Linked DNA regions of Mus musculus. The protein of the gene in region 3 interacts with the protein of the main gene of each other region in a pairwise test. Links are inferred from orthologs where the notes say so. Each region holds a gene or a part of one and is shown on either strand. Other genes may lie near its edges.

Region 1 (3,652 bases), on a different chromosome or scaffold from region 3:
GGGGCAGGCACAGGCCATTCCCTCCACACAGCTCAGCCCAGGTACCTGCTCGGGTTGGGGTCAGCTGCTCCGAGGGCTTGGGCCGCTCCTCCGTGCTGTGACCTCGGAGTCCGTGCAGCTCGGCCACAGGCAGGAAGGTGGTGGGCTCTAAGGCCTTGGCAGCCAGCAGCTCCTTCTCCCTCGCCCGCTGCTCCCGCTGCCGCTCCAGCTCGCGCTCCCGTTCCTTCTCCCGCTCGCGCTCCAGCTCCTTCTCCCGCTCCTTCTCCCGCTGCTCCCGCTCCCGCTCCTTCTCCCGCTCCCGGTCGGCCTCCCGTTCCCGTTCCCGCTCTCGCTCTCTCTCCCGCCGCAGTTCCTCGTCCATTTGCAACCTGGGAGGGAAAACAGGGCAGCGTGCTAAAGGGATGTGCAGGGGGGGCAAGTCCACGCCCCAGCTCAAAGTGGAGCAGCCACATGCAAGAGTTGCCACCTACACACAAAGAACCGCATCCCGCCACCACCAAGCCAGGCCCCGCTGAGGACCTCAGGAACGCTCAACAGTCCCCTCCACCCCACCTCTGCTGAAAACACAGCTTACCTCTCTGCACTGAGGCTGGACATCCGCTCCGAGTGTAGCGCCGCCAGGGACGAGTGGGAGAGCTCAGGAGGATACCGTACGCCGGAGAGATGCAGGTGCATCGCCGACGGATGCAGTGGAGGCAGGGAGCCAGGGGTGGGGATGGGGTAGAACGGAGACCTTAAGGCTGACAGGCAATAGGAGTCATCCATCCTGTAGACAGAGAGGCAGGACTGGTGTGTGCAGGAGCCACAAAGGATAAGCTTGCCTAGCAGATGCGAAGCCCTCAGGTGAATCCCTGGCACTGCAGGAGAAAGGCCGGGACCCAGGCAGGTGAGCCGGCGCCTCTCGGCTGGGCGAGCCACTGCTCACTCAGGCTCAGCCCTGCAGAGACTGCATGCAAAGAGCATGTCCACTGTCTGGGGCCACAAGGAACAGACCACATGGGCGCCTAGGACCTCCCGGACCATGGGTGAGCGAGCGGGAGGGCAGACTGGCTGCAGGCAGAGACCTCTGGTGTGACCCGCTGTGGTAAGAGGCCAGGAGCTTCTACAGGAAGAGGGAGGGCATGGCCTGACTCTCACTCCGGAGTCTCCATCACACTGTCTAGGTACCACACACTGTTAGTGGGGACTGGCTGCTGGGGTGCAGATGCTGAGAAGTGGGAACCAAGGAGCATCAGCAGGTGGTACTGAGTCCATCCATCAAGACTCAACTCAGTCGAGCTGGGGAAAGCTATATAGCTCCCTTGAGTGCCTGGACCCCAAGCCCTGGCAAACGCCCGCCCCGAGAGGTTCTGCCTTGCTGAGAACAGATTAGCACACAGGGCAGCGTGAGTGGGGACGCCTCACCTGAAGGCCGGGTGGGGGAATGGGTGTGGGGCCAGGTAGCTGGGGTGATAGTAGGCTGCGGCGGTGGCTGGGTCCAGGCCAAGCGGAGGCAAGGAGGACATGCGTAAGTCTTCAGCAGTGTGGTAGGGCCGGAAGCTTCTCAAGTAGTCCTCAGTCACCGTGCTGGGGGGCACCACATGGTGCACAGGCCGCTGGAGGCTGTGGGAGGGGGAAGTGGGGAGCAGAGGTAATGTGCCACACTCCCTCACCAGGCTCAGGTCCTGCCTCTCAGTGAGGTACAGCCTGGCATGAAGCCCAGACTGCACAGATGGGAAGCTGCCTGTCCCTCAAGGTCCCCACGAGTGGATAGAGATGCTGGAGGGGCTCTCTGTTCCCCAGACCCAGAGGATGGGCTTAAATGTGTTTAGGACACCTGATAAGTCTGTCTCAACAAAGGCTGGACCACAAGGTCAGATGGGGCCAAGGACCTCAGGGCAGATCAGGCCACTGAGACTAATGGCATTCTATCTACCTCTGCCAGTGCAAACTCTCAGGTCTGTCTGGAGCCACCCCTGTGCCTTCCCTGACCCCAGGCTGGCACTTACTTGAGTGGTTGGAAGCGGGAGTCCTGTACAACTGAGCCGGGGGAAAGGCCAAAGGGGTACGGGGTGCTGAGTAGGTGGGAGGGGATGGCGGGGCCCGCAGCCTTTTCCTGGGCGAGAGGTGGCTCCACCAATAGGCGCTCCCGACCACTGCTGCTGCCTCGTGAGCCAGAGTCCTGCGGGAAGAAGAGTTAGGTTTTGGGGAGCCATATTCTAGAAACATCCTCCCCCTAATTTTTTTTTTTAATCAAAGAAAGCATAAAAGGGGTATTTAGGGAGAAAGCCTCCTATGAGCAGGTCTGGACCAAGGTCTACAGGGTCTGGCTCAGCTCTAGAAGGAACTCAACAATGTCAGGGAAGCCTTAGACACCAGACTGCTGAATCCCAAGATGAGGCATGTGAGGGCATCTGCAGGGTAGGAACTCCCACCTCCTATAGGCAAAACAGGGTGGTCATAGAGTCAGGACACACACACACCCTGGGGACCTGCACCTCAGGACAGAGCTGCTCCCTAGATTCCAGCAGTGCCCGTAGCTATGTGGACACTGCTGGCAGCTGATATGGACCTACGTGGGGGACCCTTGCACATATTTAGGCTTTGAGACCCCAGGAGAGGCTCCCTTCAGGCAGGAAGTGAGAGGCGGCAGTTGAGTTGGGCTGGGCTGGGCTGGGCTGGGGAGACCCCGCCTCACGGACTGATTTTCTGTATAAACAGTCACAGCAGCACCACACAGCCTGGAGAAACCAGACCCAACAGCCCTGCATGCCTGTCACCTGTGACTAGGGAGGAATCCTCAGGGCAAGGCAGAGAGGCAAAGTCAGGGAGCCACGGAGCAGAGGGGAGACTGAGGGCCAGGAGCCTCCTGGTACAACTTTGAGGCCCTTCCCTCACTACTGCAGGAGAAGCCCAACACAAGGCAGACAGTGGCACTCACTAGGGACACGAGGTCCTCTGGATGATATGGCTGAACCCATGGTGTGACTGAAAGGCTCATGGTAGCCAGCATAGTAACACTGATTGTCTCTGGATACAGGCCTGCCAGCCATTCTACCGGCTCCTTGTGGTTATCCCCAGGGTCAGCAGCTAGCATCACCAGAGCATATGTAAGCCCCGAGGGGAGGGGTCGTGGCTGTACCACCACTTAACCCTGTGTGTGCAGAGTGAGGACAGCTTAGCACCGTACCTCCCCGCCTCCATTCTCACAGAGTCTACCACAAGCCCTCCTGCTCCCCACAGACAGCCAGCCACGATTAATTGAGGGAGACAGGCTGCTGATTGAATTTTTAATGAGCAGCAACATCTGTTTCCTTCCCTGGGTGCAGCAGCAGGCTGTCTCTGTTCCCTTGTGGGGTCCTCATGGGTTCATGACCTCTGACCTGCCCTCCTCAGGAGAAACATTCACACAGTACCGTATAGGTGTGTATGGCAGGGTGCGGGTGGGGTGGGGGCACATATCCCACTCACACCAGGACAAACAAGGAGACTAGAAAAATGGCCATCAGGCTGGGCAGTGGTGGCACATGCCTTTAATCCCAGCACTACAGAGTGAGTTCTAGGACAGCCAGGCTACACAGAGAAATCCTGTCTCCAAAAAAAAAAAAAACCAAAAACCAAAAAACAAAAAACAAAAAATAGCCCCAAAGATGAAAAAAGAGAAAAAAAAGAG
Region 2 (3,442 bases), on a different chromosome or scaffold from region 3:
GCCTTTGCCTCTGGTCTGAATAGTCTGTGAATGAGCTGGAAGTAGGTCAGACCCAATTGTCTTCAGAGATAGTAGAGATGGCTATACCTGGATGAAGGGTTGGGGGTGGGGGCAGCTGGGAGGCAGAGTGATGGGTACAGGAAGATGGGGCACCTACCCATGGTTTTCTCCCCACCCCAGAAGGCACCTATCCTTAGGAAAACCGGGTCTTGGAGGCCCTCACTGCTTCCTCACCTTCCCCAGGCATCTTTGCATTCAAGTGTTCGAGGGCAGAGGACATCTTCAACCTGCTGCAGGACCTCATGCAGTGTAACAGCATCAACGTGACGGAGGAGCCGGTCATCATCACGCGGAGCAGCCACCCACCAGAGCTGGACCTGCCTCGAGGGCCCCCACAGCCCGCTGGTGAGAGACCCCACCCCAGTCACCCTGTCATATACACACACGAGCTAAGGAGCAGGTACGGGAGAGCTGGGGTGAGCCAGCCTTCCTGGACAGTCTTCTGTCGTCAGAACCATTCCTGAGGATGGATCAGTCCTGGGCAGGGCCAGTTGGGTGACTCAAGCTGGAGCTGCAGAGGCCTGCGCCTTGGGTCAACTGATGGTTGGGAAGCAGACAGGAAGACGTTGGGTTGCCATAGAAACAGCAGTCTGGAGCTTTTTGCTTCCTTCCGTGTACTGGCCTGGATCACATACAAAATACACTTCTCCTGGCTGGCTGGCGCGCCATCGCTGCTCACATTGGTGTGGAGGTTCCCATGATCTGTTCTTGATGGCTGCTAAGTCAGACCACACAGCCCTGCTCATTGTATTCCCTGTGAGAGACAGAAAGGCTAAAATGGCCCCTGTGTCGGTGAGGTTTCCTGGTGCTCCCTGGCAAAGCCTGCCTGGTCATAGGACAGTTCAGGGGTGACAGGTGTGCCATCAGTGTTTAATAAGGTCTATGAGAAAGTAGGAGGTTGAGCCAGCCTCAGGGTGGCTTCAGAGGGCAGGGCAGGATTTGATTGCAGAGGTGTAGGGGGGTGGGGGGCTGCCCAGTCAGTGCAGTGAGTGATAATAGGGCCGTGAGAGCCTCTTGCTTGCCTTTGGAAGGATTGCAGGGCACCTCAAATATGTGTGCACGTGACTGCAAATGACTGTCAGCTCTCCCATACCCCTCTCCTTGACTGCTTTCCCTGAACCCACCTCCAGGCTACACGGTCTCTGGCTTCTCCAATGGCTTCCCTGGCTGCCCTGGAGAGGGCCCACGGTTCTCCTCCGCACCTCGCCGACCCTCCACAAGCAGTCTGCGACACCCCTCGCCTGGGGAAGAGTCTACCCACACCCTCATTGCCTCCGAGGAGCAGGTGTGCAGGTGGTGGGCGGCACTCTAGGTGGGCGGGACCTAGGGAAGGTTGGGAGAACAGAAGAGACTTGATAGGGCCCCCCTCTACCGGAGCAGGAGGGGCCGCTTATGGGGGGGGGTTGGAGGCGGCAGGAGAAACTCTGGCTCTTTTCCTGTCTTCTCTGGCCCTGTCCCTCCTCCCAGTCCTTGAAACCACTTGATTCACTTAACATCTCTCTCCCTGCCTGCAGTCTCACACCTATGTCAACACACCAACTGGGGATGAGGATGGCAGAAGTCGCCACTGCCTGCAGCCACTGCCTGAGGGCAGGGTACCCCTCCCAGCACAGACACAGGGTTCCGACCAGCGAGACCCACAGGTGTTGCTCCAGCCAGGGCAGGTCAAGTTCGTGCTGGGCCCCACCCCTGCTCGGCGGCAGGTGATGAAGTGCCAGAGCCTCTGCCCGGGCATGCAGGACCCTCCCCATCACAACAACAACGAGGGCCCTTCTGAGTGCCCAGCCCAGCCCAAATGCACCTACGAGAACGTCAGCGGGGGCCTGCAGCAAGGGGCTGGCTGGAGACTGAGCCCTGAGGAGCGAGGGTGGAGTGGCCTGGCCCACCGTCGGGCGGCCCTGCTGCACTATGAGAACCTGCCCCCACTTCCCCCAGTGTGGGAGAGCCAAGGTCAACAGCCGGGAGGGGAGGCTGGGGATGATGGGGACTCCAGGGACGGGCTTACCCCGTCCTCAAATGGCTTCCCTGATGGCGAGGAGGATGAAACCCCGCTACAGAAACCCACCAGCACGCGGGCCTCCGCCCGTAGCCACAGCGGCTTCCCTGTCCCACTGACCCGCCGACGAGGCTCCCCGCGGGTCTTCAACTTTGATTTCCGCCGGCAGGGCCCTGAGCCCCCAAGGCAGCTCAACTACATCCAGGTGGAGCTCAAGGGCTGGGGTACAGCCCGTCCCAAGGGGCCCCAGAACCCCTCAGTGTCTGGAGCTCCTGGGCCCACCCCACACCCTGTTCGCAGCTCAGACTCGTATGCCGTGATTGACCTCAAGAAAACGGCGGCCATGTCCGACCTGCAGAGGGCTCTGCCCCGAGATGATGGCGCGGTCAGGAAGACTCGGCACAACAGCACCGACCTGCCTCTGTAGACCTGGGCCTCCGCCTGCCTCTGCCTACAGCAGGGGACTCCACCTCACCCACCAGCCCAGGACTCTCAGCTGCTCTGCAGAAGACACTTCCCTGCATCGCCGGAGTCCCCAAAGATGTCAGCCACTGAGTGTCCAGTTCCCCAAGCTGGGGAGAGGAGAGGGGGAGCCGGAGAGGAGGGAACCATGGTGGAAACTGTGAAGGGTTCTCAAGGTTGCATTTCGCACCCTTCCCTAATGTCCGTTTGTCTGTCTGTCTGCTGTCCATGTGTTTGTGCTTTCAGGTTTTTTTTCCTTTCCCTTTTTTTGTTGGAGTTTTGAGACATTTTTGTACCTGTTGATTTTATTTATCAGTTTATTTTTCTATTTATTGTTTTAAATGTAACTTAACATATTTATTATTAATATAATTATTTTTAAATTCTGGCTCAGTGAGTGCTCTCGTCTGTGCAGTGTTTCCTGGCAGGGTCTGGGTAGGTAGGTGACCCCACAGAGAGGGGAGGATTCATGGCAAATTCAGGGGGGTGTAAAGTCTGCGGTTATTTCTTTTTCTTTTCTAAGAAGCCCTGGCCTATCGCTTCTCGGCCTTTTGGCTAAGATCAAGTGTAGAAGCCCTGGCCTAAAATGTAAAGGTTTCCAGGGATGGACAAGCTCTGCTTCTGCTAAGCTGGGGGCTCGCTGCTGAGAGCTCAAAGGCAGAGGGAACCTGGGAAGAAATGTGACCTAAGAGATGATGTTCACTTTACAGGCTACAACGGACCGGAAATGGGGGAGAGACATTTCACAAGACTCTGTAGCCCCTCCAGGCAAGCCCCAGGGGCCACTGCTGGCCAGAATATATGTTGAGCGGAAGGTAGACCACAGCCTCTCCTCACACAGCTCAACCTTGCCTAGGTCAGACCCTTCACAGGGGATTTTGCTAAAATCACATGCCTGACTAGCCTTCCAGTTCATCCTTTGGG
Region 3 (2,195 bases):
CTATCCATGAGATACGGGGATTCTGGGTGTGGGCCACCAGACCTGTTCTTTGTGGTGCTAGGAATGGAACCCAGGGCTTCGTGCATGCTGGACAAACACTTTACCAACTGAGCTATGGCCCCAGGCTAAGGAATGAGTTAACTGTGGAGACTAGATGAAGGAGGGAAAGACAGCTCCTCCTTTCAAGCGGGTGGGTGCCTGCCTGCCTGCCTGCCTGCCTGCCTGCCTGCCTGCCTGCCTTCCTTCCTTCCTTCCTTCCTTCCTTCCTTCCTTCCTTCCTTCCTTCCTTCCTTCCTTCCTTCCTTCCAGACGGAGTCTTACTGTGTAGCCCAGGCTGATCCTAAAGTTATGGTTCTCCTGCTTCAGCCTCCCAAGAGCTAGGAAACCGGATATGTGCCACTGTGCCAGCTGGAAGGCATTTTAGAGTTGAGGTTATTTGTGAAAATCTGACAGCATTCCTCAGAGGCATTACTGATTCATCTCACTGAAAGATGAAGTGTGTGGAGACCAAATCCCTTGTCTAGAGGCTTCAGTGCTGCTCTTAGACCTCAGAAATGCTAAGTCCACCTTCCACTGAATCCCATGCAGGGAACTACACACACCAGATGGCTGGGCAGAGAGTACTCCTTCCTGGCTGGAGTGGCTTCCCTCCACTGACCTTCCTTCCTCTTTTTTCGTTAGGCCACCCTGGAGAAATGTTCCACATGCTCTGAACCCATCCTGGACCGAATCCTGAGGGCTATGGGGAAGGCGTACCACCCTGGTTGCTTCACCTGTGTGGTATGCCACCGTGGTCTTGATGGCATCCCGTTCACAGTGGACGCCACCAGCCAGATCCACTGCATTGAAGATTTCCACAGGTCTTGCCTGGATTCAGCATGTCTTCACTGACCTATTTCTTCATGTCCCAGGGTCTGCCTCTTCTGTTTCCACCTTCTGGTGCTCTCTTTCTTTGACACCACTTTCTTCCCCAAGACCCAGACACATCTCTTATATCCTTCTCATCCCCACCCCTGCCCCTTCCACCTTCATTGGGCTTCATTTTGAGTCTCCTGATGGTGTGGGAGGGAGGGACCTGATAGCCTCTTTGGTTCCCCTCCACTGCAGGAAATTTGCCCCACGATGCTCAGTGTGTGGTGGGGCCATCATGCCGGAACCAGGTCAGGAGGAGACGGTGAGAATTGTTGCTCTGGATCGAAGTTTCCACATCGGCTGTTACAAGTGTGAGGTGAGGGGGGGTCCCTGGGCAGGAGCGAGAGCTTTGCAGAGCCCGGGAAGCTGGGGGAAAAGCACTGTGGGAAAGTCCCAGGCTAATGAAGGTTTTGTTCTTTCTCACAGGAGTGTGGGCTGCTGCTGTCCTCTGAGGGAGAGTGTCAAGGCTGCTACCCGCTGGATGGGCACATCTTGTGCAAGGCTTGCAGCGCCTGGCGTATCCAAGAGCTCTCAGCCACTGTCACCACTGATTGTTGACTGCTCTGAGAAGTACCTGCTGGGATCTCAGCCCCCGTCCGTCCGTCCGTCACTTCCCCCAACATCTACCCTTAGTGTTTGCCATCAAATGCTGTCTTTTCTTCCTCTCTTCATGAAATAATAATCCCTGGAGCATTTAAAAGCACTTCCAAGTCTGTTCTTTATTGGAGTCTCACAGGATGAGGCTGGTGAAAGCTTGAACTCCAGCACTCAGGAGGCGGAGGCAGAGTGTGAGTTTGAGCCCAGCCTAGTTTACATACTAAGTTCCAGGACAGTGAGGGGCTACATAATGAGATCCTGCATATCTTTTATTAACTCTCATCCTGTACTATTGTTGTTGTTACATAAATTAACCTGTTTACTGTAGGCTAGGGATGTCTCAGATGATTGGATTTCTGCTGGTCTTTCAAGTCCTTCAGACTTCTGATGCCAGATACAACAGCAGAAGTGGTGTCGCAGATCTGGGCTGCACCAGCCACCACAGTGCCAGATGCCAGTGGCCTGTTTTCTTCATCTTGGTCTTGCTCCAGAAGGAACAAATATACCTGGTGTGCTCATCGATTTCAATTTTCCATGCCATTCTCCAGAGGGAGGCATCATCTCGGATCCTATGTTTACTTACGATGCTGACCTGCTCGGTGCATTTAGCCACAGTGCCGTGACATAGGCCAAATGTCAAACAGAGGTAGTTCTCTAAAGGACAAACTGTAAAGTATCCCAGGCTA

Evidence for each region.
Region 1: the proteins of Trip6 (region 3) and Gse1 interact in binary tests that used the Homo sapiens proteins (3 or more experiments, as listed by UniProt). The link is inferred for Mus musculus from reciprocal best matches to the Homo sapiens genes TRIP6 and GSE1.
Region 2: the proteins of Trip6 (region 3) and Frs3 interact in binary tests that used the Homo sapiens proteins (3 or more experiments, as listed by UniProt). The two-hybrid records come from large-scale screens. The link is inferred for Mus musculus from reciprocal best matches to the Homo sapiens genes TRIP6 and FRS3.

The regions. Positions count from the first base shown.
Region 1 is NC_000074.6:120,564,877-120,568,528, reverse strand, and holds part of Gse1 (genetic suppressor element 1), read right to left. Parts: intron 2,162-3,652; coding exon 1,989-2,161; intron 1,603-1,988; coding exon 1,405-1,602; intron 767-1,404; coding exon 575-766; intron 369-574; coding exon 46-368; intron 1-45.
Region 2 is NC_000083.6:47,701,380-47,704,821, forward strand, and holds the end of Frs3 (fibroblast growth factor receptor substrate 3), read left to right. Parts: intron 1-234; exon of another isoform or gene 235-243; coding exon 244-405; exon of another isoform or gene 406-617; intron 618-1,190; coding exon 1,191-1,345; intron 1,346-1,574; coding exon 1,575-2,483; 3' UTR 2,484-2,907; downstream 2,908-3,442. UniProt on the Homo sapiens protein: Adapter protein that links FGF and NGF receptors to downstream signaling pathways. Involved in the activation of MAP kinases. Down-regulates ERK2 signaling by interfering with the phosphorylation and nuclear translocation of ERK2.
Region 3 is NC_000071.6:137,309,318-137,311,512, reverse strand, and holds the end of Trip6 (thyroid receptor-interacting protein 6), read left to right. Parts: intron 1-681; coding exon 682-860; exon of another isoform or gene 861-912; intron 913-1,107; coding exon 1,108-1,228; intron 1,229-1,338; coding exon 1,339-1,470; 3' UTR 1,471-1,614; downstream 1,615-2,195. UniProt on the Homo sapiens protein: Relays signals from the cell surface to the nucleus to weaken adherens junction and promote actin cytoskeleton reorganization and cell invasiveness. Involved in lysophosphatidic acid-induced cell adhesion and migration.